Saccharomyces cerevisiae S288C: one gene and its partners. Changing the gene in region 3 together with the main gene of any one other region gives a genetic interaction. Each region holds a gene or a part of one and is shown on either strand. Other genes may lie near its edges.

Region 1 (9,898 bases), on a different chromosome or scaffold from region 3:
AGAATCACAGTTTTAAATCTCCGTCACCAATTGATCATTTGTTACAATCGCCAGCTACACCAAGTAATGTATCCATGTATCGAACTCCGCCTTTAGATAGCTCATTGACATTTGATAGGCGGAATGGGTCTTCATACAGTAACCAAAATTATAGCATACCTAGTTGGCAGAAAACTCCAAAGACCCAATTGGAGAATAGCGACAATTTTGAGGAACAGAAGGAAACACTTTACGAAAATAGCGAATCTAGAAACGATCCCTCGCTTGATAAAGAAATTGTCACGGCAGAGCACTATCTGAAGCAATTAAAAATAAATTTGAAAGAACTTGAATCTCAAAGGGAAGAATTAATGAAAGAGATCACTGAAATGAAGTCTATGAAAGAGGCTCTACGCCGACATATTGAATCCTATAATAGCGAGAAAAATAAACTATATCTTGACTCCAATGAATTATCAAATAATCCACCGATGATAAATGAAATCAGCTTAGGTGAGTCGCCACCCGTGAAACATGTTGCAACTGCAAGTTCTGTAGCGCGAAGTTCTGTTAAACCAAAATTTTGGAAGTTTTTTTCATCTGCAAAGCCACAGACCGAGCAATCTATACAAGGTGTCAGTACAAATAATACAAATTCCATCGTTAAAAGTGCCCCAGTTTTGCTTTCTGCTCCCTCATCTGGTAGTAATTCCGGCCGTTTAGAAATTTCACCACCTGTGCTACAAAATCCTAATGAATTTAGTGACGTTAGATTAGTACCTATCGAGAACGATGCAAATATGGGACAAAGTAAAGATGGAGAAGAATATTTGGATGGAAGCAATTTGTATGGTTCAAGTCTCGTTGCTAGGTGCAATTATGAAAACAATGAAATACCGATGATACTATCTGTCTGCATAGATTTTATTGAATCAGACGAAGAAAATATGAGATCGGAGGGCATTTATAGAAAATCAGGTTCCCAGCTAGTCATAGAAGAAATAGAAAAGCAATTTTCTGCATGGAAAGTACAACAAAATACCGAAACGCCAAATATTTTAACGGAACAAGATCTCAACGTTGTTACTGGTGTGTTGAAGCGATACTTAAGAAAGCTCCCCAACCCTATCTTTACCTTTCAAATATACGAGCCGTTGATGAGGTTAGTTAAATCTAAAAAAATGATGGAAAACTTGCCATTTGTTGGAGGAAAGTTGTCCTTAGAAGCAAAGAATTCGGACACTTATATGTCGAGCAAGAGCGCTTTAAAAAACATATTGGAAGACCTTCCAAGGGAACATTATAGGGTGTTAAGAGTACTGAGTGAACATATAGAAAAGGTTACACGGTACAGTCACTGGAATCGAATGACGCTTTATAATTTGGCTTTAGTTTTTGCTCCAGGTTTGATTCGTGATTTCAGTGGAGAAAAGGATATTATTGATATGAAAGAAAGAAACTATATTGTCGCATTTATATTTGGGAACTACAAAGATATCCTGACGTAGCGCTATCCTCGGTTCTGCATTGAGCCGCCTTATATGAACTGTATCGAAACGTTATTTTTTTAATCGCAGACTTAAGCAGGTAATTATTCCTTGCTTCTTGTTACTGGATATGTATGTATGTATAATAAGTGATCTTATGTATGAAATTCTTAAAAAAGGACACCTGTAAGCGTTGATTTCTATGTATGAAGTCCACATTTGATGTAATCATAACAAAGCCTAAAAAATAGGTATATCATTTTATAATTATTTGCTGTACAAGTATATCAATAAACTTATATATTACTTGTTTTCTAGATAAGCTTCGTAACCGACAGTTTCTAACTTTTGTGCTTTGACAAGAACTTCTTCTTCTTGCTTTAATAAAAACTGTTCCATTTTCGTTGTATAACTTGAATCATAAGCGCCAAGCAGTCTGACAGCCAACAGCGCAGCGTTCGTACTATTATTAATAGCGACGGTAGCTACTGGAACACCTCTAGGCATTTGCACAATTGAATGTAAAGAATCTACTCCATCTAGACAAGAACCTTTTACGGGCACACCGATGACAGGAAGTGGTGTCATTGCAGCCACCATACCTGGCAAGTGAGCAGCCCCACCAGCTCCAGCGATAATTGTTTTAATTCCACGCTTGCTTGCGGAAATAGCATATGCTGACATCCTATGTGGAGTTCTATGAGCAGAGACTATTGTCACTTCAAATGGAACGCCAAAATCTTTTAAAACCGCACATGCGGCAGACATTACCGGCAAGTCAGAGTCTGATCCCATGATGATTCCAACCAATGGTTTGACCATTGCTTCCAAGTCCAACTTTTGAGCGACAGAGATTTTGATTGGAATATCAGTTCTACCTGTAATGTAGTTCAGCCTTTGTTCACATTCCGCCATACTGGAGGCAATAATATTTATGTGACCTACTTTTCTGTTAGGTCTAGACTCTTTTCCATATAAGTACACTGAGGAACCTGGAGTCGCCAATGCTCTTTCGCAAGTTTCTAGCTCTTTATCTTTTGTATGTTTGTCTCCAAGAACATTTAGCATAATGGCGTTCGTTGTAATGGTGGAGAAAGATGTGAAATTCTTTGGCATTGGCAAATCCAATATTGATCTCAAATGAGCTTCAAATTGAGAAGTGACGCAAGCATCAATGGTATAATGTCCAGAGTTGTGAGGCCTTGGGGCAATTTCGTTAATAAGCAATTCCCCTGTTTCTAAATAGAACATTTCCACACCAAATATACCACAACCGGGAAAAGATTTGATTGCATTTTCTGCCAACAACTTCGCCTTAAGTTGAACGGAGTCCGGAACTCTAGCAGGCGCATAACATAAGTCACAAATATTGTCCTTGTGGATAGTCTCTACAATTGGGTAAGAAAACACTAAACCGTTAACAGATCTCACAATCATGACTGCTAATTCTTTAGTAAATGGTGCCCATTTTTCGGCGTACAAAGGACGATCCTTCAGTACTTCCAAAGCTTCCGGAATCATTTCCTTATTCTTTACAACGAAGTTACCTCTTCCATCGTATGCCAAAGTCCTCGACTTCAAGACGAATGGAAAACCCAAATCTCTTCCAACATTCAATAGGGACGTCTCACTGGCTTGTTCCACAGGAACACTTTGGGTAACTGCTATACCATTTTTGATTAAATGCTCTTTTTGAATATATTTGTCTTGTATCAATCTGATTGTTTCTGGAGAAGGGTAAATTTTTAATTTGGGATGTTTTACTTGAAGATTCTTTAGTGTAGGAACATCAACATGCTCAATCTCAATCGTTAGCACATCACATTTTTCAGCTAGTTTTTCGATATCAAGAGGATTGGAAAAGGAGCCATTAACGTGGTCATTGGAGTTGCTTATTTGTTTGGCAGGAGAATTTTCAGCATCTAGTATTACCGTCTTAATGTTGAGCCTGTTTGCTGCCTCAACAATCATACGTCCCAATTGTCCCCCTCCTAATATACCAACTGTTCTAGAATCCATACTTGATTGTTTTGTCCGATTTTCTTGTTTTTCTTGATTGTTATAGTAGGATGTACTTAGAAGAGAGATCCAACGATTTTACGCACCAATTTATACATGAAATGCTCCATAATATTGTCCATTTAGTTCTTAATAAAAGGTCAGCAAGAGTCAATCACTTAGTATTACCCGGTTCGTAGCCATGCAACAAGAGTCATTTGTCAGCATAGCTGTAATAATCAATCATGACGTAAGAAATGTATCATAATTAAAAGTTGTTAAAGATGTCAGTGTTATGTTGGTGTTACAAAATTCTCGGCTTCTCACTAATATTTAATATCTCTTAAATTTTATCTGTCTTTGATTCTTTTAAGAAAAGTTATGTATTATTCAAGAAAAAGTCAATTCCGCATCAAAAGGTAAAATTTATATAAACTGCTTTAAAATTTCATGAAACTAGGCAACTTTTCGAAATGATCTTTTTCGAGCATGAAGTTTCTTTTATAATAACCTGGTCAAAAGCTTTCAATATATAATACATTTGGTATTTACGGAAATGAGATGATATACTGGTAGTGCGCTAGTCAAGTTCTAATTAAATTAAAATGCAAAATAGTAATGTCAGATGGACACATTGGGCGAAATAGCTAACCCATAAGCATGAATCCTGTAACTTATGTAATACGTTAATCACGATACGGCGTTACTAGTCTTCCTTTTGAGTGGTTTCTAATGTAGATTCTTGTTGTTCGTTAATTTGCTTCAAGCCGTTTAGCATTCCTGATTCGTTTGAAGATAGAGGAACAGATGCGCCAGCGAAAGATGATGATGCAATGGTAGAGGAAGTGTTGGTCGAATCTCCCTTTTTGGAAATAAAGTGTCGTTTTGATTCTAGATAGGCTTCTCGCAATTGATTGTGGAGATACTTCTTTAAAAGGGCCATACCTATGGGATGACATTCTAACCTATAGAGTAATTTCGTAATAGCATAGCAGATTTTTGACGCCCTTCTTTCTAGTAGAGGAGAAGCCCTTAGCTTGGGTGAGATGACTGAGGATGCGTTTGTAAATTCGGGATAATTGGAATTTCCAGTACCCTGCCCATTACCTCCCAGAATCCTTATATTAGGGCGTGTACTCAGTTGTAAAAACTGTCTCAATGAAGAAGATTGAGCAATTCTGGTCAAATACGTTCTTCTCCTGGACAGAGATTTTGTGAAGGGCAAATCCTGCCCACTTTCTTTTGTAATAAATGTGAGGAAAAACGCCAAGATATCAAAACTGTAAATTTGAGTAAAAAGATCTATTGCTGATACTATAACACCGTGGGGATCTTTTTCGATGCCCATATAGCTGTTAAAATTATCGAAACCCTGACGCACTTCGCTTTCAAAACTCCACCTAGAAATATTATCACCGTGTAACTGAGCTGTGGGTAATATTTTGAACGGAGAATAGTTCAAACAAGCGTTTAAAAACTTCTCAATGTTTGTCCTGCTTACCGATACCATGCGAAACAGCTCTTTAACAATGTCCAATATTTGGCTTAATTGGGAATATATTTGCTCTGTGGAAAATAACTGGCATGTGTTTCCTAAGCTAAATAAACAATTATCCAAGTTAGACAATAGTTCAATACTATGCAGTGTAAAATAATCAAAGAACTCCGGGAAAATGAAAAAATCTTTATAAAACATGATATATTCATCTTTTAGTGCTATATTAGGTGGAATTTCTCGTCTTTTCAAAGCGTCCAGAAGGTTTTCCAACTGAAGAACATTCAGCCTTCTCAAAACGCTCATGATAGTATCACTATCATGATATTCGTCGATAAGAAGAGAAAAGAGCTTCTGGCCCAAGTTTACCTGACTTTCGTTGACTGCGTTGGTTGAGAAATGAGGCCTATTGAATATCTTTCTCAAAGGGTTAGGCCCAATCTTCACTTCTGCCACTGTATCTGGCTTTTCTTTTTCTGGACTATTATTTTCATAAAACACTCCCTCATCCACATCGTAGTAATAATCCCAGATATCTAACTGGTATCGGAAAATTGGATTGGCAGTTCCGATAATTGCAAAGCATCCGACAAAATCACTATTCGATGCTACATACGCCCGCAAACCGTCAACAAGAGAAATGTCCATATAGGGAAAAATCAACGCAGCATTTCCTTTGAAGTATGATTGTGGATCGCTAGCATAAGTTGCCGTTATGTTGGCTAATGACAAAATAAAAGCGCATAGGTCTTCTTTACTCAGTTTAGTTGAATTGATGACTAACTTCCATGCATTAACTTTTTGTCCGGCTTTAAGAAGGTAAGGGACAAATTTATCCAAAAATTTTAAAACTAGTTCATTATAATCATTTTCAATATAAATAGGCTCTCTTCTAATCATATTAAATTGCAATGGGATTTTTAACAAAAATGGCGGGAGCGTCTTTGGCTGAAATCTTGTAAAATGATATTGAATGAGTTGGTCATGAAAAGTCACAATGTTACCATACTTGTCCTTAGTGTCAAATCCATTGATGCAAAAGAGTTTCTTTAAAGTGGAATCCGGGTCTAAAAATACTTTGGTAATGATAGATTCGTCATGGATAGAGTGTAGCACTTCTTGTATACTACTTTTGGAATGTATGTCATTAATCAATGTAAGGTCAATACTGTTTAGCATATTAAAGCAATCAAGCAGTATGTCTGTAGCAGCAGCTTGAGTGGGAGCTTTCATATACAAGTCTAACACTAATACAATAATATTTTTGAATGCAAAGAAGGTTTTTAATGGTGTTCCGATGGCAATCGACTTGATTACTGCCCCTCTATCGTTCGTGGTGTCTAATACTGTGTTGGCGACATTTATGAAAAATAAAGGTTCGTTGTCGATGGCTTTCTGATTATTCTGAACTTCCTGGCATTCGAGCTCATCATCTTCCAAGACAATAGTGTATCTATTATTTTTTGCATCTTGATGATTTTCGGCATCGTAATATATGCTATTGGTAACACTACCATCTGACTGTTCACGATGATGCAGATTGAAACTGAAACGAGGGTCTTTTGGCACAGGAAAGAGTTGATAGTTTTGAGTAAACTTATTGTAATAAAGGGTAAACACTGTAATATCTTGTTTGCCGGGATTTCTCTCTATGCTACTCGGTATCATTAAACTTGCCAAGTTCATAGACACCGACGTATTGCCGTTGCGTTGCTCATGTGAGAACTGATTGAAACCTGGAATATCTTTCGGGTATTGGTGCTTCAAAATAGGACCTAATTTATTATCAAATTCTGCGGATATTATATAGCTGACATTCGGCCTTTCAAAAGGAAAGGATTCATTTTCTATCGACCTGTTGCTGATAGAGTTATTTAGTTCTCTTCGCAACATCCGGTAGCCAAAAATGTTTGCGTACCAAAGACTCTAACAGTGGGCGGTACTATGCTTGATCTTGATTTTATAGAGCTTGCACTTTTATAGAAGAACCATTGCTACCTAGACAGTTTTTTTTGTTTACATTCGAATCATTTTTTTTTTTGCATTTAGTTAAATCCGAAGTCCTGACTAGATAATTTACTGTCAGAGAATAGTAGCATCTATGCAAGAAACTGGTATACAATAGTCGAGAGGTTGTTGTAAAAAACACAAAATACTAACACAAAGCCTGGCTGTTGAGATTGTGCGACATTCTTGATCAGTAAATGGTATTACAGACTGTCTATCAATGTTACATACTTGCTTATTACACGATTTATTGTATTTAAAGTGCAGAAAGAGTCTCAAAGATGTAAAAAACTGCAGCGTTTGCTGGTACTGCCCTAAAAAGGGTTATACCCAGTCCTCGATAAAAACCCTTTAGTCCAAATTTGCCAAATATCTTCTTCACCGCATTGGTGAGGCTTATATGTTCAGTTTGCATTACTGATTTCACAGTATCCGCAGGAAAAATACTGGCGTTGAATGCCAATCCAGCGCTCCCTCCACTAATAAGTAGTTCCCATATCTTACTTTCATCTCTTTTTGGGTCATCAAGGGAGTGCCTATCTTTCAACGACTTCTTAACTATTTCGTAGGTTGCAAACCAGGCAACACCACCGAAGCTTTCTCGAATAAAAGTGCCCGATTGCCCTTGCCACAATCCTGCCAATCCTCTCTCAGTTATAATTGCTTTTATTGTAGGCAACACCTTTGTATGTTTCGTTTTAGCTGATGCAACTTGTAAGTTCGCAACCTGCAACTTACACTTCACCAGCTCCACGGGTGTCAAAACTAAACTAGCACATGAACCCGCTACTCCACCAGAGATCAGGATTTGCCCCAACGGGGAAACGTTTGTATGTTTTTCTAAAAATTTAGAACATTGGTTATAAGACACAAATAATGTCGCGTTCTCCAGACATGCTCCAACTAAAGGTGAAGCAATGCCTTGAAAAAACCCTCGTGCTATTCCTTCATTTTGGTAAGTAAATTTTATACAAGACCATGTTGTTGGGAACACGTTGGATGCTTGTGTTTGCAACCTGACTTTCACAGTATCGAAAGGAAACTCGATCACCTTACCACAGGCGCCTGCAATGGAACCGTTTATTATATCGAGTATAGCGCCTTCTATTAATCCTTTCTTTTTACTGTCCTCCATTATACGTTGACCTTCCAGAATTTGAGTTCCCTATAGGTTAAAGAAAAGTTTCTACGACAAAGCATCTACGCTTTAACAATTAACTATACCCGTGCTTCGATAATTTCACACTTTTCTGAATCTATCGACGCCAGGAGCAGAGAACTTATCATTGGCGATTCTTGACGCTGCGGCCACAGCGGCCACAGCGGAAAACGTATATGTCACATTTTTCGAGCTCAAGGTGAGTCACGATGCAGAACTGGAACGTACTAGGACTAAGTTGCAACGATGAAACTACAATGCTACGCTTTCTTCGTGCTAAGTACTCATTGTATCCATTAATATGGTCCACAAAAAGGGTAGGCTGCTGTTGTGCTTCATTAAGACTGGTCAAAAACACGGATCCAGCAGCAACAGCACCTGCATGGATGGAATAGGATTGGTGCTAAATCACTTGGAATTAAACACAAGGATTTTGGTCGGCAATATTATATAAATATAGTCAGATGAGTGCTTCATTTTTGTTGATAAGTATTAATGAAGATTAAGTGTGGATAATACTGTCTTTGATACTATACATTTAATGTGACGAATTGTATGACTCGTATACATAACTACCAAAGCGTAGATCTTTAACTTATTTTCAGCACTGTCCGAAATGCTCAGTTAGCAGTTTAGTACATTCACGTTAAAACGTGTATGTTCGAATAAAAATCAACTCACTCATCGACTGATATTCATACTACTGGTATATTGTCATACGGTGTAAGAAGATGACATAAAATCGAAAAACAATGGTAAAGTATAATGGCAACTGAAATGCAAGGATTTGATAACGTCATAAAATGATGAAAAATATAAAATGGAGGGAGAAGTAACAGGTACGTAGAAATATTGGTTCCCTTTATGGATCCCTATATCATCGTGCAGAACTTCTCGTATATTCGATATACCTAAATTATAGCCCTTAACAATAATGAAATCCTAACGATTATCCCGAAAATTCACCTATTTCTCAGTATATGAAATGTACATTAACGTAAACACTCATCTTGCTACCATCATTATTTATATTGACATTAATGATCACTTGCTGCAACATTTTTTTATTTTTTCAAATCATATGAAACAAGTATTAATAAAAACACCGTTAACCCAACAATTAAAATCCGTGATAGTTTAATGGTCAGAATGGGCGCTTGTCGCGTGCCAGATCGGGGTTCAATTCCCCGTCGCGGAGATTTTTTTGCTGATTTGATGTGTTCTCGAACTTTGTGATGCCGAAAAAATCAAGGTAATTCCGCCATAGCTACTATATTAGCTCTAAAAAACATCTAAGAATAAAATGGTATTTCAATCATATGTACATATCTAAGTAAAGTTTTTTTTTTTTTAGAAACTTTCTTTATTCATATTTTGAATCAATTCAATTATTTCGGAAAGATCCTCTACTGAAACGTCTACTAGTTCTTTATGTTCGAGCAGTAAATGTCCATTCACATGATTCTTGAGTAATACCGTGAAACATCCAGCAGATCTACCGGATTTCATGTCGTCAAATGAATCTCCTACCATGATCATTTCCAAGGGCCTTATATTTAGCTTCGAGGCGATGTGTAATAATGGGTCTGGTTGCGGTTTTGTAGGCCTAAACTCCCTTGTCACAATATAGTCAAACCTCGAAAGCTCGGATGGAATAAATCTTTTAACAAAAGTCTCTACCGGGGCTCCGACATTTCTAGTACATATGTTCTTGCTAATACCATTTTTCGTCAAATACCTCATTATGTCAACCAGACCAGGCTGCGGTTGCAT
Region 2 (8,236 bases), on a different chromosome or scaffold from region 3:
GGTTATAATGTGCAGCGATACAATCAGTTACGTAAAAATTTTGGATTTTATAGAGCATATTCTTCACTAAGAGGTTGTAAGAGCGTTTTCAGACGTATATAGAATAGTTTTTTACTTACCTTTCATAATGTATTATCACCCTTTTACATAATACAAGTTTTAGAAGCAGATATTTTTATTTTTTTCATTTCCATTGTTCAAAAAGAGGGATGGTAAAGTATGCTAAAAGGCATACAAAACAATTAAAGGGAAACAGGTACAGCGAAGTCTTATGGGATTCATAATGTTGTTAAGATCTAGATTTTTGAAGGTTATTCATGTGAGGAAACAATTGAGCGCCTGTTCAAGATTTGCAATTCAAACACAAACGAGATGTAAGAGCACAGATGCTTCTGAAGATGAAGTGAAGCATTTCCAGGAGCTAGCCCCTACTTGGTGGGATACAGACGGATCACAAAGAATTCTACACAAAATGAATCTAACTAGGTTAGATTTTGTGCAGAGGACTGTGAGGAACCAGGTTAAAATTCAGAATCCTGAAATATTTGTCCCTGGATTTAATTACAAGGAGTTTCTACCAGAATACGTCTGCGACAATATTCAGCGGGAAATGCAGGAAAGCATAGAGACTAATCTAGATAAGAGGCCAGAAGTGAGCGTCTTGGATGTTGGATGCGGTGGTGGCATTTTGAGTGAATCGCTCGCGAGACTAAAATGGGTGAAGAATGTTCAAGGGATCGATCTGACTCGCGATTGTATCATGGTAGCAAAAGAGCATGCCAAGAAAGACCCCATGCTGGAGGGAAAGATAAATTATGAGTGCAAGGCTCTGGAGGATGTTACTGGACAATTTGATATTATCACCTGTATGGAAATGCTAGAGCACGTGGATATGCCTAGTGAAATTTTAAGGCATTGTTGGTCGAGGTTAAATCCCGAAAAAGGTATACTCTTTTTAAGTACTATAAACAGAGATCTCATCTCATGGTTTACTACAATTTTTATGGGTGAAAACGTCTTGAAGATCGTCCCAAAGGGTACTCATCATTTGAGCAAATACATAAACTCAAAGGAAATCCTTGCCTGGTTCAATGACAACTACAGTGGCCAATTTCGCTTGTTGGATCTCAAGGGGACCATGTACCTCCCATATCAAGGGTGGGTTGAGCACGATTGTTCCGATGTCGGTAATTATTTTATGGCTATTCAGAGACTGAATTGAAATCAAACGAAAAGTAGGTATCTGACTGTAAATATCTTCTTATATAAATATATATATATACACTTTTTCACGTACAGCATGAGTTCAAAAAGCAATGGCATGGTCCTGCGTTTATTAAATGATGTATCCTTTTCAAGACGCCAGTAATTTATTCAATACAGTATCTCTTTTCCGCTTATAATGGAAAAGAGAGAAAAAAGATCAAAACGTTGAAAAATTTTTTTTAGTCATTGAGGTATCAGAAATAAAACTCAATAACAAAAAATAGTCGTAGAACAACGATGAGCAACGACGAAACTGTAGAGAAAGTCACCCAACAAGTGTCGGAACTAAAAAGCACAGATGTTAAAGAGCAAGTAGTTACACCTTGGGATGTGGAAGGTGGGGTTGATGAACAAGGTAGAGCCCAAAATATTGATTACGACAAATTGATCAAACAATTCGGTACTAAGCCGGTCAACGAAGAAACCCTGAAGAGATTCAAGCAAGTGACGGGTCGTGAACCACATCATTTTTTGCGTAAGGGATTGTTTTTCAGTGAGCGTGACTTCACTAAAATATTAGACCTTTACGAACAAGGCAAACCATTTTTCCTATACACTGGTAGAGGTCCTTCGAGCGATTCTATGCACTTGGGTCATATGATCCCTTTTGTCTTCACCAAATGGTTACAGGAAGTGTTTGACGTACCATTAGTCATAGAGTTGACAGATGACGAAAAATTTTTATTCAAACACAAGTTGACCATCAATGACGTTAAGAATTTTGCCCGTGAAAATGCCAAGGATATCATTGCTGTTGGCTTTGATCCAAAGAACACCTTTATCTTTTCTGATTTGCAATACATGGGTGGTGCATTTTACGAAACTGTAGTAAGAGTTTCCAGACAAATTACAGGATCCACTGCAAAGGCTGTTTTCGGGTTTAATGACTCCGACTGTATTGGTAAGTTCCATTTTGCCTCCATTCAAATTGCTACCGCATTCCCAAGCTCATTTCCTAATGTGTTAGGCTTGCCTGATAAGACACCATGTTTGATTCCATGTGCAATTGACCAAGATCCATATTTCAGAGTTTGTAGGGATGTCGCGGATAAATTGAAGTACTCCAAACCTGCTTTGCTTCATTCCAGATTCTTTCCAGCTTTGCAAGGTTCCACGACCAAAATGTCAGCCTCTGATGATACCACTGCCATTTTCATGACCGATACACCAAAGCAAATTCAAAAGAAAATTAACAAGTACGCATTCAGCGGTGGTCAAGTGTCCGCCGACCTACATAGAGAATTAGGTGGTAATCCCGATGTCGATGTTGCATACCAATACTTGTCATTTTTCAAGGATGACGATGTTTTCTTGAAGGAATGCTATGACAAATATAAGTCCGGTGAATTACTATCAGGTGAAATGAAGAAACTGTGTATCGAGACTCTGCAAGAATTCGTTAAGGCGTTCCAGGAACGCAGAGCTCAGGTGGACGAAGAGACCTTGGACAAATTCATGGTCCCACATAAGTTGGTTTGGGGCGAAAAGGAAAGACTTGTCGCACCTAAGCCAAAAACTAAGCAAGAAAAGAAGTAAGTAGTCACGCTTATTCTGACGCTATTATATACAATGATATAGAATCCGAAATTGTAGTTTAACACTAAAAAAATAATGCAATAGAACAATAGTGTTGCGATGTCTCCTGACCTCACTATTTCTATAGATTGGTATGAAAAATTTTTTTTTCAAATATATGGGAAAAATTTTTCACGGCATATAAAAGACTACCATCTTTCTGCATCAGTGTGCCAGACCCATTCTCACACCAAGAAGCGAGGAAGCTAACAGGCCAGTACTTGCAGGTTAGGTTTTCGTGCTCAGATGAGCAGATCATGGACTGCATTGTGCTGTTGTTGCACAGTAAATTTTGTATACCATACTTTATGATGATATTCTTTACGAACTTTTAGACGTTAGACTTCTGAAGGAGATTAGACCCTCCTATGGAAGAGAAACTCGTTAAACTTATCTGAGTAGGTATGTGTATATGCGTCTCTTGTATTATACAAATGTTCTTATTTCTTGTCCTGCATTTTTCCGAGTATTGGTAAATTCATGTAAATTTTTCATCCCATAGATCGTAATTTTGAAGTAGTGGCAAAAGATTTTAACAGAGCGTAAGATATAGTGAGAGAAACTACTCGCTGAAAAGTTGAAAGTGACCCAAAAAACGGCACGAAGACCAATTATACGCACTTTCAACACAGTTCGTCGAATCTTCACAATGGGGTTCAAGAAGCTCGTATCATTCCAACCGGATTATGTCCCACAATACCATATAACTAAATATATCTCGGAACGAACTAAACTGCAACTGGTACATATAAACCACAAAACCTCCCCATTGGTTCACGGTTACTTTGCTGTTCCTACAGAATGTCTTAATGATTCAGGTGCTCCGCATACCTTGGAGCATTTGATCTTCATGGGTTCTAAATCTTACCCATACAAAGGTTTATTAGACACAGCTGGTAATCTGTCTTTGTCTAACACCAATGCTTGGACTGATACCGACCAAACTGTTTATACATTAAGCAGTGCTGGCTGGAAGGGATTCTCAAAGTTGCTACCTGCTTATCTAGATCACATCCTACATCCAACTTTAACAGACGAGGCTTGTTTAACTGAGGTTTATCACATCGACCCGGAAAATTTGGGTGATAAAGGTGTGGTATTTAGTGAAATGGAAGCCATTGAAACTCAGGGCTGGTACATTTCAGGGTTAGAAAAGCAGCGATTAATGTTTCCTGAAGGAAGTGGCTATCGGTCAGAAACTGGTGGGCTAACGAAAAATTTAAGAACCTTAACCAACGACGAAATCAGACAATTTCACAAATCTCTGTATTCTTCTGATAATCTTTGTGTCATTGTTTGTGGTAACGTACCAACAGATGAACTGTTAACCGTCATGGAAGAATGGGATAACAAATTGCCGGAGATTCCATCGAATATACCAAAGAAAAGACCATTTTTGGACAACAAGCTTTCGCACATACCGCAATCTAGAGATAAAGTTACGGAATCTACTGTAGAATTTCCTGAACTTGATGAAAGTCAGGGTGAATTACTCTTTTCTTGGATTGGTGTTCCCTACTCAGATTTTCGTAATGACCTAGCGGTTGATGTGCTATTAGATTACTTTACTGACTCTGCATTGGCAGTGTTTACAAGAGAACTGGTTGAAATTGACGATCCCATGGCAAATTCCACTGATTGTTGCACTGATTATTTCATGAGAACCATAATTGATCTTCGTATCCAAGGTGTCCCAACAGAAAAAATAGCAGCAACAAAGACCAAGGTACTGGAGATTTTGAAAACCCATACCATTGATTTATCAAGAGTTAGACAGGTAGTTGAAAATACTAAATGGGAATATTTGCTGAACTATGAAAAAAATGGCGAGAGTCGTTTTTCTAGTGCTGTGATTACCGACTATATTTATGGTAATGAAGATGGTTCTTCATTAGTGTCTTCTCTCAAGGATTTAAGTGATTTTGATGCTTTATTACAATGGTCCCAAAAGGACTGGCAATCTTTGCTGAACAGAATATTCGTAGACAACAAACCTATCATAGTTACCGCTAAACCAAGCGCTTTGATGTATGAACAACTAGAGAAAGAAAAATCGGATTTGATCAAACAAAGAGAAGCTGAATTTGATGATGAAAAGAAACTGGTTTTATTGAAAAGATTGAACAATGCAAAAAATATTAATGATAGGCCAATTCCGAAATCTCTACTACAGAAATTTGAGATTGATAATCCTTCAAAGAGTGTTGAATTTGTCAACACGAAAAGCATTGCAACTGTCGATTCGTATAAATACAATAATGTTAGTGATCCGCTGACCAAAAAAATTTTAGAAACGAGGCCAGACAATTTTCCTCTTTTCATTCACTTAAATCATTTCCCGTCTCAATTTATAGAGCTGCATTTTTTGGTCAACTCCGCATCTATTAAGGATACCTCGCTTTTACCATATTTTAATATGTTTGACGAGCTATTTTCCATGCCAATGAAAATCCTTGATGAGGAGAGTAATGTAGAAACTATGCTCTCGTTTGAGGAAGTTGTCGCCAAGTTAAAATCAGAAACTATTGACGCACAGATCAACCAAGGTTTGAAGGGTTCTTGTCCTGACCTTATTAATTTTAAAATTCAATGTAGAGCTGGGGGTTACTCTAACTCTGTTCAATGGATCAAGCACTGCCTATTTGACATGGTTTTTGATGAAAATCGTGTTCGTATTCTGCTGGAGAATTATTTGAATTCTATTGTAGAATGGAAAAGAAATGGTAATGTTATGTTAAGTTCTTTAACTAACAGAAATCTCTATTCGGCAAGATCGCTGAAAAAATCCACCGATCCATTATTTGTTGAAGCAAAATTACAAGAGATTTTTGCAGAAATTGAGAATGGCAACTTTGAGAAAGAAATTTTGCCAAGAATAGAAACAATGAGAAAGCAACTGAGAGCAAATTTCAACAAGTTTCATATTTTGGTTCTTGGTGACATCTCAAAGATCGATGACGTTTATGAACCATGGAATCCCTTAATTAAGTGCTTGAACATTGCACATCCAGTTGAGAAGTTAAAAATTCCACCAGTTCCAAGAGCCCTAGATACCATTTCATCGATTTGCAGAACACCTGGTGAAAAGGCCTTTATAATAACTACTCCCGCCTCAGAATCTGCTTATATGAATCTAATAACGTCTATCCCATTTAACTTGGACTACCATGATCCCGAATACGCTATTGTCTCATTGGCTTCCGAATATCTAGAATGTGTTGAAGGTCCATTTTGGAAGGGAATCCGTGGTGCCGGATTGGCCTATGGTGCCAGCATGTTAAAATTATGTGAGATAAATTCTTGGGGATTCAATATTTACCGCGGCGCTGATATTATTAAATGTTATGAAGTTGGAAAACAGATTGTTCAAGATTATGCATCAGGTGCCTTGGAATTTGATGAGCAGTTAATCCAAGGTGCCATCAGTAGTATTATTAACAGGCTGGCTACTATCGAATGCGGATACTTTGAAACAGCCCTGTCCAAATATGTTGATGAATTCTGTTTGCAAAGGGGGAACAACTTCAATGAATTGTATTTGGAAAGGTTGCAGAATGTTACCAAAACAGATCTGAAAAATGCCATGCAGAAATATTTTGTCAACATGTTTGATTCCAATAAAAGCGTTGCCTTTGTGAGCTGTCATCCAGCTAAATTGGAATCAGTTCAAGAATTCTTTGAAACTCAAGGTTTCACTGTCGAAATAGAAGAGCTAGAAGATGACGATGACGAAATTGATAGTGAAGAAGACGAAAATGCGTGAGTACATGACCTCCATTTCAGCTTCACTTTCAACACAGAAACAGTGCGTATTATCTGCATTCAATAAATAGCAAAAGGAGCATTGTCTCATTCTTTTCGAATTCTGGGATTCTGCCTTACGGCGCTCTTTCATTTGATTGATCGAGAATTATTATTATATTTATATGAGTACTTGAAATTCCTCATATATTTATTTTTAGAGTATTTAAGTAGCTTGATGAAAACATTAGATAAAATTACTAATTACGACCTCTTCGATTTTGCAGATGAGTTTTTGAAATTTGTTCCTGTGTTTAGACCTAATCCCACGGTAACTTGTCTTTTTGGCAATCCGTTAACTAATTTACTGGTTAACGGTACTGGAGCAGCGTGTTTTTTTGAATTTTGTTCCTTGGCATTGATAAAGGTTTCAAAAATTCTGCTTGATCTGTTGCTCTTAGCGCTATTAATCGATTCAGAAAACGAATTGTGCTTTGAAATTGATGGAGATTGGCTATGCGTCCTGGGTTTTGGCGAAGGAGACTTGGAAGTTGGAAGATCTTTAGGTATGGCTCTTCCGGATGATGATGTTCTTCTTTCAATTACCTTTTGGTTTCTTTGCAACAGTTCTTTCTCTATTTTATTTGTATTCGAATTAAGAATTTTTTTGAGAACAGTAAACAATTTGCTCGTGGTTTTTTTATCAGTGCTCAAAAGAAATGACTTGTAAGGTGTCTGAATCACAACTATATGATTAGTTCCCATTTCCAAGGGAATGATTAGTTCTTTTATTTTGGTACCCTGTTGACGCAAATTTATGTCATATTCTAGTTCATACTTTAAATTTGTAACTGGATTTGGCTGCCTCCTCTTGGCAAATACTAGAAACCTTCCAAATGATGTCATTACAATGGTTCGTTTATAGTACTTGGTTTTTTCATCAGAGGAAGAGAGCGTTTCAGCTGCTGAGGTAGGGTGAAATAATTTTTTAATCTTGCCAGAAAAAACAGAGCTTCCTTTATTGTTAGATTCGGATTTATCATCGTCTTTCATTGGTGAGCTGTTTTGATTGCATTTGTACCCTTCTCCGCTTCTGTTAGTAAGCAACTCCGATAAGTCACCTCCTTCAATTCGATAATCATCTTCCAAGAGCTGCAAATCGATAATATTTTTCGAATAGTACGTATCTTCTGTTTTGGAATAAGCAGTCATAGTTGGATCATTTCGAAAACCTGTAACCTCTCCCCCACTCCTAGCTACTTGGGATAAAAAAGTATGTCTAGGCTTACCAAACAGTTGAGGATCTAACAATGAACCATTTAGTTTAAGCATTTTCTTCTCTAAGATATCGTAATTTGTGGTAACAAAATCCAGTTTTTCCGTCCTTAGTACATGTTCGTTGATGTTTTTCAGGTAAAAGGACCATTGAATATCTTGCTTGTTCATCAAGGGAGAATCTGTGCTATTTTTAACATTTTGCTTACTAATACAAGGCTTAGGTGCGGCAATTGCGGTATCAGAATAATCCTGCTGTTTTGTCGTATAGGGAGGTGTCATTTGATATGTATCATATGGTGTCATAGGGGGCGACATTGGAGGTGTGTATGGAGGCATTGGGACTTTTGACGATAAAACTGATGCTGACAAAGGTGGA
Region 3 (11,002 bases):
AGTTTCCAAATAACTCTTGTCTGCTCATCACCGTCCATTTCCACGATGGGATGAACAACTTTAATTTTACTCATTTTAACTTGGACAACTATCTCTAAAGTGTTGCTTGTGTTTACTGCAGGTATGTGCAGGAGAAAGCTTATAAGGGGAACACTCTTATATACGAAGATGCAAAATTGGGGTAATTAATGTAAATTTAAGAATGACAAGAAGAGTTGACTAGTACACGCAACGAAATACTAATCACATTTTACTTTTCCCCTAAAAGAGAGCTCCTGCTTTTCTCTTTACTGTCCCTTTTGGTATGTTTGATTGATTTCTAATTAGTATACTTGAAATATCATTCGTTTTGTATTAAAGATTCGGCATTAAGCATGCTAAATCCGAGGAGGATCTTCCTTTATTTTTTGATGTTCTTTCTCTCAGACAATAAAAAAGATATACAAGAAAAATATAGTACGTACGTATATATGCATACATATGTAAGAGGCAGTTACACGGTATTAAACTTTAATATTTCGTAAGAGTCTTGCACTAATTTTCCATCAATTCAGCGACTGTCTTTTCACCAGCCAGAACTTGTTTCATGCTAGCCAAGATGTCTTTGAAGGTATCGAATTCATGGAATGGGACGTTTTGTTTTTTACAATAAGTGACCAAATCTTTACCTCTTTTGGCAAATAGCAAATCACATTCTTTTGCAGCACTTAGATCAGAAACACCGTCACCACAGTAAAAGTAAACGGGTCTTTGTTCACCTGCTTTCAAGGTAGATTCAAATTTCTTTTTATAAGCATCGATACTTCTGGATTTGTCATGTCCGAAGGGACTTTCATCCTTATAGATGATTTTCCATTGATCATGTGCATCGATTTCCACTTCATTGGAAACAATGTCAATTTTGTGAATAGACTCTTGTCCAACTAATCTGGTCAATAAAACCTTGATAATTGGTTTCATTCCGCTGGAAACAACGATGACAGGGACATCATTTTCTTGAGCCCATTCGAATGTATCCTTGAAACCAGGATCCAATCGAATTTTCTTTTCTAAGATCTTGATACACTCAGGGAAAGGGGTGTGGATGGATTCCAGCATTTCCATGAAACCTTGCCTAAAAGACTTAGTATCATCTAACACGCCTTCGAAGACCTTTAATCTTTTTTCCTTACCGAAACCTAAAGTATCGGTCAGATAATCGTTAGAATCTTCCAAAGTAACGGTACCGTCGAAATCGGTAAAAATAACAGCTTTGACCATTTCCCTTGTATATATATAAATGCTATGTCACTCCAGCTTATGTTATGTGAGCAAGTTTCAAGAATGTGTGCGTTCTGTTGAGATAAACAATAGAGGACACTGTATTTTTTTAATTTAAGATGATGAAAAATTATGCGATAATTTTCGAAAATTTCGCTCATTTTAGAAAAAGAGATTTGAACAGGGTACCATAGTAGAACGATAAAAGAATATGTCGTACAATGTGTTGGGTTGTTGATATCCAATAAAGAGTTTTTTTCAGCGTGTAATGCTTAGATATTATGTGGAAAGTTACTACTGTTGTATTAACCTGTTTCGTATTTCCTAAAGAACGCTAATGTGTGATGTTTGGGTTTATTTCTTAAGCTATTTAGGCGGACTATGAAAGAGAGGAAACGGAATCTTTTGTTCCCTCGAGGTAATAAGGGGACAAAATAGCAGAGTGTGGTGAGATAGTTTACTAGATGAACGTCGTTGTGTGCTCCGGTGGGACTGCCACAAATTCATTGACTCCTTGCTTTTCTAATATTTCTATCTTAAAAGGACATGAGCTGACGTATATATTGCCAATATCAGATAATGGCGGGTCCACAAGTGAAATTCTACGAATAGTTGGTGGCCCAGCAATTGGTGATATCAGATCTAGAATAGTGAGACTACTTCAAGATGAACAGCTTGTCGAGTTGTTTGGCCATAGGCTACCTAATGATAAGTTATTAGCTAAGAAAGAATGGAATGAAATAGTGGAAGGTTCGCATCCCATATGGAAAAATATTTCGATAGAAGTTAAGGAAATGTGTCGTTCTTTTATTATCCATATGCAAGCAGAACTCTTGAAAAAAATCAAACACTCGAATCCATTTCAGTTTGAGAGTGCATCCATTGGAAATTTTTTCTTAACTGGTGCTAGATTGTTTTTAGGTTCTCTAGACGCATCTATTGAACTAATGATGAGGATAGGAAGGTGCAGTCCTCTAGTTCATGTTATTCCATGTATAAATACCAATCACACACATCATATCTCGGCTTTGTTGACGAATGGTGAGATGATAACTGGCCAATCACAAATATCGCATCCCTCGAAATCTGTTCCTAAAGATAATAGCATAGCACATTCAGCTAAATTTATTCATTTACTTGGCTCTTATGACGACCATTTGAAAATTCTCCTCGACGATGAGGAAGAAGAAGCGGAAGAGGAGTATGCCAATCCTATCTATATTCTTCCAGAACTGAAAAACTCCCAGTTGCATTTTGACAAGCTTGATGAATCACAGAATCTACCTGCTCCGGTACATAGGATATTGTATATAAACCCATATGGCGAAGAGATAAAACCAATGGGAAATCCAAGAGCTATTTCCAAGGTGAAAAAAGCTGACATGGTCGTTTATTCTATCGGTTCTTTAATGACAAGTTTACTCCCAATCCTTATTCTTGGTAATCTTGCTGAAGTAATTTTGGAATCTAATAATACGAAAAAAGTTTTGCTCATAAATAATAAATATGATAGAGAGGTTTTTGGTTTAGACGGTTTACACTACGTTCAAATGATCATAGATTCTATGAGTAGGGCAATAGCAGGCTATAGGCAATCTAAGGGTGTCCATTCAGAGAATGATGACTTTGAATGGCAAGATTTTATTACTGATATTGTTTACCTAAAAAATGGTGAAATTGAAATTGATGAAACGATATTCGAGAAGCATAGTATTAGATGCCACCAGATCGCGTCTTCGGATAAGATGGAAAGTGAAGAACTTGAAAAGGTTCTGAATCAAATTGGCCTTAAAAACTGATGCAACTATGTCGCTCATTAACGGTTATTATAGTGAAGACTACATAATAAAGACATAGATAATAAAAAAGAATCGCGTTTGAACCATGTTTTATTTAACCATATGGCATAGAAGAAAAGTAAAAAAGGTGAACAAAAACTCATTAAATTTCACAGAAAAAGTCTACTCTCTTATGAGTAACAGTAGTCTTTAAAGCATTGTAAGCAAAATGGCGAAAATTTCTTTTTTCTTGGGAGCCTGTCCATTGTTCTTTTGGTTAATATACAGCCTAAGCAATTTTTATAATAAAGGTCATAATCATTGCTAAACACTCCCCTTCCAGTGGGTAACATACTGCTAACTTCAGACTGATTGTAAGTTATTTTGAATGTCGACGTATTAGATGCGTTTCCATGATTCGCATTGGCATGATAAATTATAATTGGCAAAAATGAATCATGTCCAGTTCTTTTGGTAGCATTGCATCCTATAACAATGGGGTGAGTGAATGTTTTTACATTGTTCGGAAATTGGTAATGAACGTTCTCTTCATCTAATTTTTCGAATATCCTTTTTAACTTGGAGCCGTTTGGATAGTTGTCAATATCCGAACTAGAATCCAGAACAAAAATTACATCTAGTTCCCTTTCAGGAATCACCAATGTTCTGAGTGGAATATTCTCGCCGTCTTCTCCGCCGTCTACAAGGTATAAATGATTTTTGTTAGTTAGGACATTGTCTTTTTCAGGATAAAGATAAAAGGGATTGGGTTGATATACGGCATAGTCTGTCTCTAATCTCGAGGAGTCTTTCGAAATACTAAATATTTCCTCTTTACCTAGGCCAAAAATTCCCATAACCATATTCAAAGCTTTCATTGCTTCTCTGGAGGACTGAGAAGCCAAATTCCAGATGAAGATGAGCACATTGTTGAATATTGAAGAAGACGTCGCAGTAATAAAACCTAGATCATCAAAGTTATTAATACACTTCTCGGCCTTTCCAGAAACAATTTTTGAGCCCAAATAGGGCAACTTGACGAAAAGTCTGAGGATATTTTCCCAAGATCCAAATTCAAAGGGCGTAAATTCAAATATAACGTTTGAAAGAAGTCCATTTTTGCAATTTGCAACGAATATTGGGATCGGCACACTGCATTCCTTAAATTTTTTAGACGAGTTTACAAGCTTCGAAAACGAAAAGGAATGGTTGGGATCGTCATCGAAATTTTTTTTTAGTCTTTGAACGATTGCTTTACCCCAATAATCGGTGAACGATATTTGGAAACCCTCCATTTTTTTAGGCTTAATTTTCAAATGCAAACTTTTGTAAAAGTCTAGCACTTTTTTAAAGGTTTCAATCTTCGCATCAGTTCCAGTGAAAGTGTTGTTAGGAAAGAATATTTTTTTTAGTCTTGCTAATGGATTCAAGTTTCTCTTCGTTATCATATAGTCTTCTGGGATTTCTTCTATGGAATTCATGATCTCCTCTATTTGTTCATAAAAATTTGAAGAGCTTGTAATCAGAGAACCCCCCTGACGCTTCTTCATCTTCAAATCATTATCATTATACTCCTTTTTTGCATTGGTAACAATTTCTTCTTCGGAAATATCGAATTCCGGTATGCCTAATAAAAGATCCTCTTCAAGGTCCCACTCTTGTAGCAGGGATTTTACTTCAAAATTTTGAACTACCAAATCCATCAAGATCCAACTTCCGCCTGATAATCCAGCAATATAATCCGAATATTCAAAAAGGCCATAATCGTTCATTTGGGAAATAAATCCGGTACCTACTAACATGGATCTGTACCCGCCGCCAGATATAGCAATCCCAATTTTTGGAGGATCTTTCAACACGCGTTTATAAAACTTCGAACTAAACTTTGCCTCTGTCAAGGATTTTAAAAACTGAATCAGTTTATTCTTCGTTTTAATTTTTTTTTTCTTCAGATACAAGGTTTCTTCTGGACAGAGTTCATGCTAATAAACAAAGGAATACGAAGTTTTGGTATATTCGGTTAGTTTTGGCCCATATTTGTTAAAGTGGCAAAGAGTTTAACTTACTTTGGCCTCCCTAATAAGTGGAGAGCTAGGACATTGTACCTGAAATGGTGCTGTTGCTAGTACTACTGTCAATAACACAGAAAAGACAAAGAGGAGTTTTTGCATTATTTTGGGATATTTATGTCTTTACTTAGGTTTTTTACTTGTATACTTTCTCTGAGTGCATTTACTTAAATATGGTTGTATAGCCGCTGAAGTATGTTTTTTTTTACCTTTCTTTGTGAAAATCAGTAATAGAAAATAAACATAAAAAAAATAAAAATATAAAAAAAGAATAAGGATGTTAACTTCAAAAATATATAAGTTACTCACTGAAAGAGATGTACTCGACTTCAAATTAAAAATCTTCATCAGAAGAAACGTATTCATCACCCATCTCTTTTTTCTTCTTCATTCTCTCCTTCTTTTTCTTTCTCAATTCTGCAGAAGAGAGTTTGCTTTTTTTCTTCCCACTATTAATCTTGTTACCCATAGCATCAAATTTATCACCCTCTTCTTCTTTTTTCTCAATTCTTGGGCCAGCACCTTGTCCTGCAACCCAATTATGGCCAGAGGGTGTCATTTTCCCATCCTTAACCGCCCAAACTTCGTCAGTCAGATTCTTAGTAAATTCTGCCGAATGCGTAATAATAATGACACCACCTTCAAAAGCTTTTAATGCTTTTGAAAGAGCACCCAATGAATCTCTGTCCAAGTAATTCGTAGGTTCATCTAAAACAATCAAATGGGGTCTTTGCCACGTGCAGGCAGCGAGTACCAATTTAACCTTTTGCCCACCCGATAAACCTCTAATTCTTGAATGTGAGACTAATTCTGAATCCAACCCCAACATGGCGCAATGTAATTCAATCTCTTTTCTTGTTAAAGCCCTGAATTGACCAGAAGCCAAAGCTTCCTTCATATCAATTTCAGCAACCATTTTAGAATGGGATTCAATCAATTCGCCCCTTGGTAGCCAAGCATTGTCGACAGACATCATTGGAACCCATCTTTCAGATTTCATACCAATGTTCTCACCTAACAAAAACGAACATTCGTACTCATACGTGTTTTTAAATTTCCTTCTTGAATGGATTCCTGCAACCCTTCTTGGGGTCCCTTCAATTTTAAATATTTTATTCATGGCCTCTGCGTCATTTTCATTTATTTGCCTATTTGCTCTATCCATTGTTTCCCTATCCTCACCAGTTTGGAACCTCCATTGAATGTATTCGGATGGAGTTTTGTCTAAGTGCGATTCAATGTGTGCAAAAGCGTGCTGCTTAATATACGCTATACGACAATTCTCGTGTGTATATACTTCACCGCTGGTTGGTAACAGTTCACCAGTAAGAACATTAATTAAAGTGGACTTACCAGCCCCATTAGGTCCGATAACTGCAATCCTTGAGGATAGAGAACACTGGAAAGTAACATCTGAGACTTGTGGTTTAGTTGTCCCTGGATATTGAAAAGTCATATTACTTACTTTAACAATTGCCTTTTGCTTCGTTTTGACACCTTCTAGATAACCAGGAGTTGGGAATTGAAATTCAAGGTCAGAGGCACCTAATTCATAGTATGATTGTGCCGTAGGACATTTTTGAACAAATTCTGATAAATTACCCTTGTACTTTCTTAATTTAAGACCCTCATAATGTATGATGTATTGACAAACCTTATCCAGAAAACCAGAATCATGAGAGACAATCACCGATGTAATTCCGCAAGTATTCAAATAATTTACCAGCCACTCCACATTAACAGTGTCTAGATGATTTGTTGGTTCATCCAATAGTAGAATGTCAGCGTCCTTCAGAACAGCCCTCGCCAAAGCTAATTTCATTTTCCAACCTCCAGATAGGGATGCAATTGGCATTTCTATCATTTCATCGCTGAACCCAAACTCCTTTAATTTCGAGGTAATAACATCCTTAGTTCCTACATTGCCGGAATATACAAAATCTAAAACGGACATGTCCGAATGTGTATTATCGATATCGTGTTCCACATAAACAGTGCGACATTCATCCTGAGTGGGGAACCCGTCAACTTGGCCATTAGCAATGGATCGCATTAGAGTGGATTTTCCGGCACCATTAGGACCACATAGACCATATCTCCTACCTCGCTTCAACCTCAATTGAGTCTTGTTTAGTAATATTTTGGCACCATATGCCAAGGAAAATTCACAATTACACAAATCTTCACCCTCATCCTCTTCGTCTTGGAAATTCGGTCCAACTGGAATATTATCTACTGCCCTTTTCCTGAAATCGTCTAGTATTTCCTTTGCAGTTTTCTCATGTAAAAATATAGTCATATAAGGTGTAACATGTGTAAACCACGTTTGCTGATCAATGATCCTTTCATCAATTAGATTTGCGGCAATCGCGGCTATGTACTCAACCACAATGGTGAACCTTGGGGCCACTTTTTCAGGTTCCAGTAATTCCTTGATGACGCCCAGTGTTGTGGAAACATCACCAGCATGCGATATTTCTGGTAACACATCATCTTCCCCGACATTACCCACACGTCTCAGGGTTTTTAAAGCTTTTAATGTAACTTCACGCGCTTCAGGATCAGCAATAGTAGCAAAATTGTTCTTTAGCCCTGGTAGTAGTTTACCTAAGAATGGAGCAACAACTTGCGGGTCTTCAACCAATTTACACATATTATCGATAATAACCGCAGCTTTACGTTTTATAGAGGTTTCTCTCTCGGCTAAACCTCTGCTCAATAAAGGAACCATAATAGACAAAGTCGCTGGAGTTACTTCGGCTACAAAAGTAGTTGCACCCAAGAGATGAACGGTTTCAGGCACCTCATTTGGATTTGCAATACATTCGATTAATTTTGGAATAAATCTCTCAATATCCTTATTATCAACAGTTTCAGTTGCCTTTGTGATGGTTGTCGTTGCCGCCTCCTTAACTCCTTTCTTAGTGTCCCACATGGATTCCGAAAGAACGGGAATTAGTTCCGGCATTCTTAAGGCAATCTGTTCTTTAGCGGCATCTACCAATACAGAGATTACTTCGAGAACAGCAACCTTCTCTTTCCACTTGTTGCTAGTTTCCAGCGAATGAATCAAATGAGGTAAGAGTGCTTTAACGGCAACCGGGTTAACAGCACTAGCGATGGCTTTGAGGGCCTTTGTTGCCGCAAGTTGAACATCATTATCTTTACTACCAGCTTTACTGCATACAGAAGGGACCGTCGCAACTATGTACGGTTCAACAGAAGGTGATAGATTAGTTTCATTTGCTATGTAAGCCACCGCACCCAGCGTGTTGAGCGCCTTTTGTTTACTCTGGATAGCTTTTTGAAATTCATCAAAAAAAACTTCGGGAACGTCATGCTCGATGATGTTCCCGTTTAAAAATGAGGAAAGCTCCGAAGAAATACCCTCTCTTGTTTCTGAAGTAGCAGTTTCCAACTTTCGGAAAAGCTCTTCTAGAACGGTGATTGATTGTTGTGAATCTGACATTTTGTGATTCCTTTTTTTTATTTATTTTTGGTTTAAAAGGCTCTTTTTTTGCACCACACTATCTACCCTTCTCTATTAGATTGAAAAGAAGAAGGAATTTCTGGCGCAAAAGTAACTGGAGAGGAGGACAAAAGATATATATATATATATATTTAAATGGATATATATATATGCACATATATATTATCCAGAAAAGTAAAGCAAAATGTGAATGGAAAAGAGAAAGAAGAAAGAAACAAGTGGAGAAAAAACTCAAATTGTTAGAAGAATATACCCATTAATAGCGGAAATCAAGGCTATTCTTTTGTGCAAGCGCATCGCTCCCCTAAAAGACATCCAGCCGCGCAATGCACGGGCCGCGACCTTGAAAATTTAAAAGACCACTTCCTCAACACAGTTTAGCTCTGTTAATGACAAGGCAAGGAAAGCAAGATGACCAGAAAAAGAAAGTCCCGAGACACATCTTAGATGCCAAAGAAATGGCGCCACAGCAGTTATAAAAGAGCGTTAAAATTGAACAGGAGCAACGATTTAGACTGTCATAAATATATTCGTATATATATATGTATATATATATATATATATATATATATATATAGGACGTGCTCTGCTGTTTTTTGGTGAATTATTATAGTAGACGAGAAATAAATTTACAATCGGGGAGAGAAAATTTCCGAGTAAAAAAGTGTTTGCGTTTATCTCAGGAATCAATTTGTATGAACTTCTTTGTCTTCTTCGACGTTCTCGATGACATCATTGTGCTTTTCCTTCAACTTGTTCAAGTGGAGAACATCTGGTACCTTGATGGTGTACCCTTTAATGATGTCGAATTCGTGTACAATAGAGCCACCTGCGTGATGAACTGAATCCAAGAACTTCTTAGCTTCCACATCTGGAGTGTTCTTTTTCAAAGTGACGATGAAATTCTTTGTCATTATGGACCTTGTTTTTTGTTTGTATATTTAAGATTACCTTCTGGTTACCGTTCAATTGGTCTAAACGGAATCTCTGCACCTAACATAATGAAGCCAGAATTTTTTATATGTGCCATATATATTGCATTGAAAGAAGTTCCCGATGCTCTGATATGCCCCCTTTTTCCCGCCCCATTTTATTTTTTGGGCTATGCAAGATAAAGAAAGACCAAGAGCTCGGGGATGCGTGGTATTGGTCCGTTTCCTTTTGGGAAAGATGCCAGCCACAACCTGCCACGTACGCGATTCGAAATGATTCGGGCGTGCATATGAAGCTCTTGGAAAAAAAATAAGGGCTGGATAGAGGGAAAGGAGGTGTTTGGCAGACGAAGTAATATCATCTAGGTTTTTGATATTTGGCGTCGCGACTTTTTGGTTGTCATTTTCACAACCTTTCCCTAAAGAAAGAAAAGTCCTGTGGAACCAGCCGGGTTCCTGTTAAGCTGCCTTTTTTTTGGTCTTAACAGCCATTCTTTTGTTCGAAACACAGTTCCGTACTTAATGAGAACGTTGGAGCAGCGTCACGGGTGCGCAGTGGTAGTGGCTGTTGCCTTTATGTGCCTGGACTCAAGACTGACATGTCTCCATAACGCTAGGTAGCATTTTTATATACTTAACAAAAGTTGTAAAAAATAAAAACAAAAATTATATATATGGACTCGACAAAATACAGTGGGATGGATGTTTAAAAAAAATAGGGTAAGAAAGGAAAAAGGAAATATAATAAAGAAAGCCTTCAGAAAATACGTTCTTTATTTTTATCACACTATTAGCAATGACTTTCACATTTTAAAGGAAAATAATAGTATTAAAAATTAAACAGTGACGAAGGAAGGAAATAAGACACAGAAAAACTAAAAAAATAGAGTAAGTTTATAGGCCCTTTTATTTTTCGAGCAATAGTAAATTGAGTTTCTTCTTCTTTTTCTCTCCCTTTTTCGTAGTAATTTTTTTTTTAAAAATAGTATAATATAATGAATGGATTCTTGTCGTTCTTTTTTTATTTTATCTTGGGATTTGTAGGTTGCCTCTCTTTATTCTTTCTTTTTGTTTCATTCCACTTTTCTTCATAATATTTATTGTTGTTGCTGCTGTTGCTGCTGTTGCTGTTGTTGCTCAGACATAACCGGTTGTTGTTGGTCATTCATTATAAGTGGCTGACCGCCCTGTTGCTGCTGCTGTGGCATAAAATTTGATCTTTCCTTACCCCAACCGGTTCTCAAGTTTCTGCCTTGAAATGGGAAGTTTGCCAAGGCAACAATACAAACAGCGGCCTGTTCATGAGTGTCATACTTTATGAAGCAACAGCCCTTTTCTGGATAGTGCTTGAAATCTAAAATAAAACCGAAGTTCTGGAACAACGGAATTAAATCAGCTTCAGTGGCAAAGTGCGGAATATTACCGATATAGGCAGTAGTAACTCTTGGTGGGGCACTTCTAATGATGTGGTCA

What was found.
Region 1: mutations in PYP1 (region 3) and AFI1 together harm fitness more than expected from each alone (negative genetic interaction), as found in Saccharomyces cerevisiae (one large-scale study listed by BioGRID).
Region 2: mutations in PYP1 (region 3) and WRS1 together harm fitness more than expected from each alone (negative genetic interaction), as found in Saccharomyces cerevisiae (one large-scale study listed by BioGRID).

Annotation. Positions count from the first base shown.
Region 1 is NC_001147.6:562,707-572,604, forward strand, and holds AFI1 (Afi1p), read right to left. Parts: upstream 6,853-9,898; coding exon 4,171-6,852; downstream 1-4,170. Other genes in the region: GTPase-activating protein RGA1, read left to right, coding at 1-1,487; phosphoribosylaminoimidazole carboxylase ADE2, read right to left, coding at 1,770-3,485; ORT1 (Ort1p), read right to left, coding at 7,223-8,101; YOR131C (putative haloacid dehalogenase-like hydrolase), read right to left, coding at 9,476-9,898. UniProt on the Saccharomyces cerevisiae protein: Involved in actin patch polarization. Required for maintaining a proper budding pattern in yeast cells. Required for proper polarized localization of the ADP-ribosylation factor ARF3 at the plasma membrane.
Region 2 is NC_001147.6:131,093-139,328, reverse strand, and holds WRS1 (tryptophan--tRNA ligase WRS1), read left to right. Parts: upstream 1-1,503; coding exon 1,504-2,802; downstream 2,803-8,236. Other genes in the region: HMI1 (ATP-dependent 3'-5' DNA helicase), read left to right, coding at 1-102; COQ3 (hexaprenyldihydroxybenzoate methyltransferase), read left to right, coding at 284-1,222; YOL097W-A (uncharacterized protein), read right to left, coding at 2,924-3,109; SDD3 (Sdd3p), read left to right, coding at 3,491-6,604; serine/threonine protein kinase PKH2, read right to left, coding at 6,847-8,236.
Region 3 is NC_001146.8:603,893-614,894, reverse strand, and holds PYP1 (putative phosphoric monoester hydrolase), read right to left. Parts: upstream 1,261-11,002; coding exon 535-1,260; downstream 1-534. Other genes in the region: isocitrate dehydrogenase (NADP(+)) IDP3, read right to left, coding at 1-74; YNL011C (uncharacterized protein), read left to right, coding at 1,725-3,059; SPO1 (putative carboxylic ester hydrolase), read right to left, coding at 3,230-5,020, 5,105-5,209; HEF3 (translation elongation factor EF-3), read right to left, coding at 5,442-8,576; PBI2 (Pbi2p), read right to left, coding at 9,284-9,511; PUB1 (Pub1p), read right to left, coding at 10,627-11,002. UniProt on the Saccharomyces cerevisiae protein: Hydrolyzes sugar alcohol (polyol) phosphates. Dephosphorylates a variety of substrates, including: sn-glycerol 1-phosphate (D-glycerol 3-phosphate), D-ribitol 5-phosphate, D-sorbitol 6-phosphate (D-glucitol 6-phosphate), and D-erythrose 4-phosphate.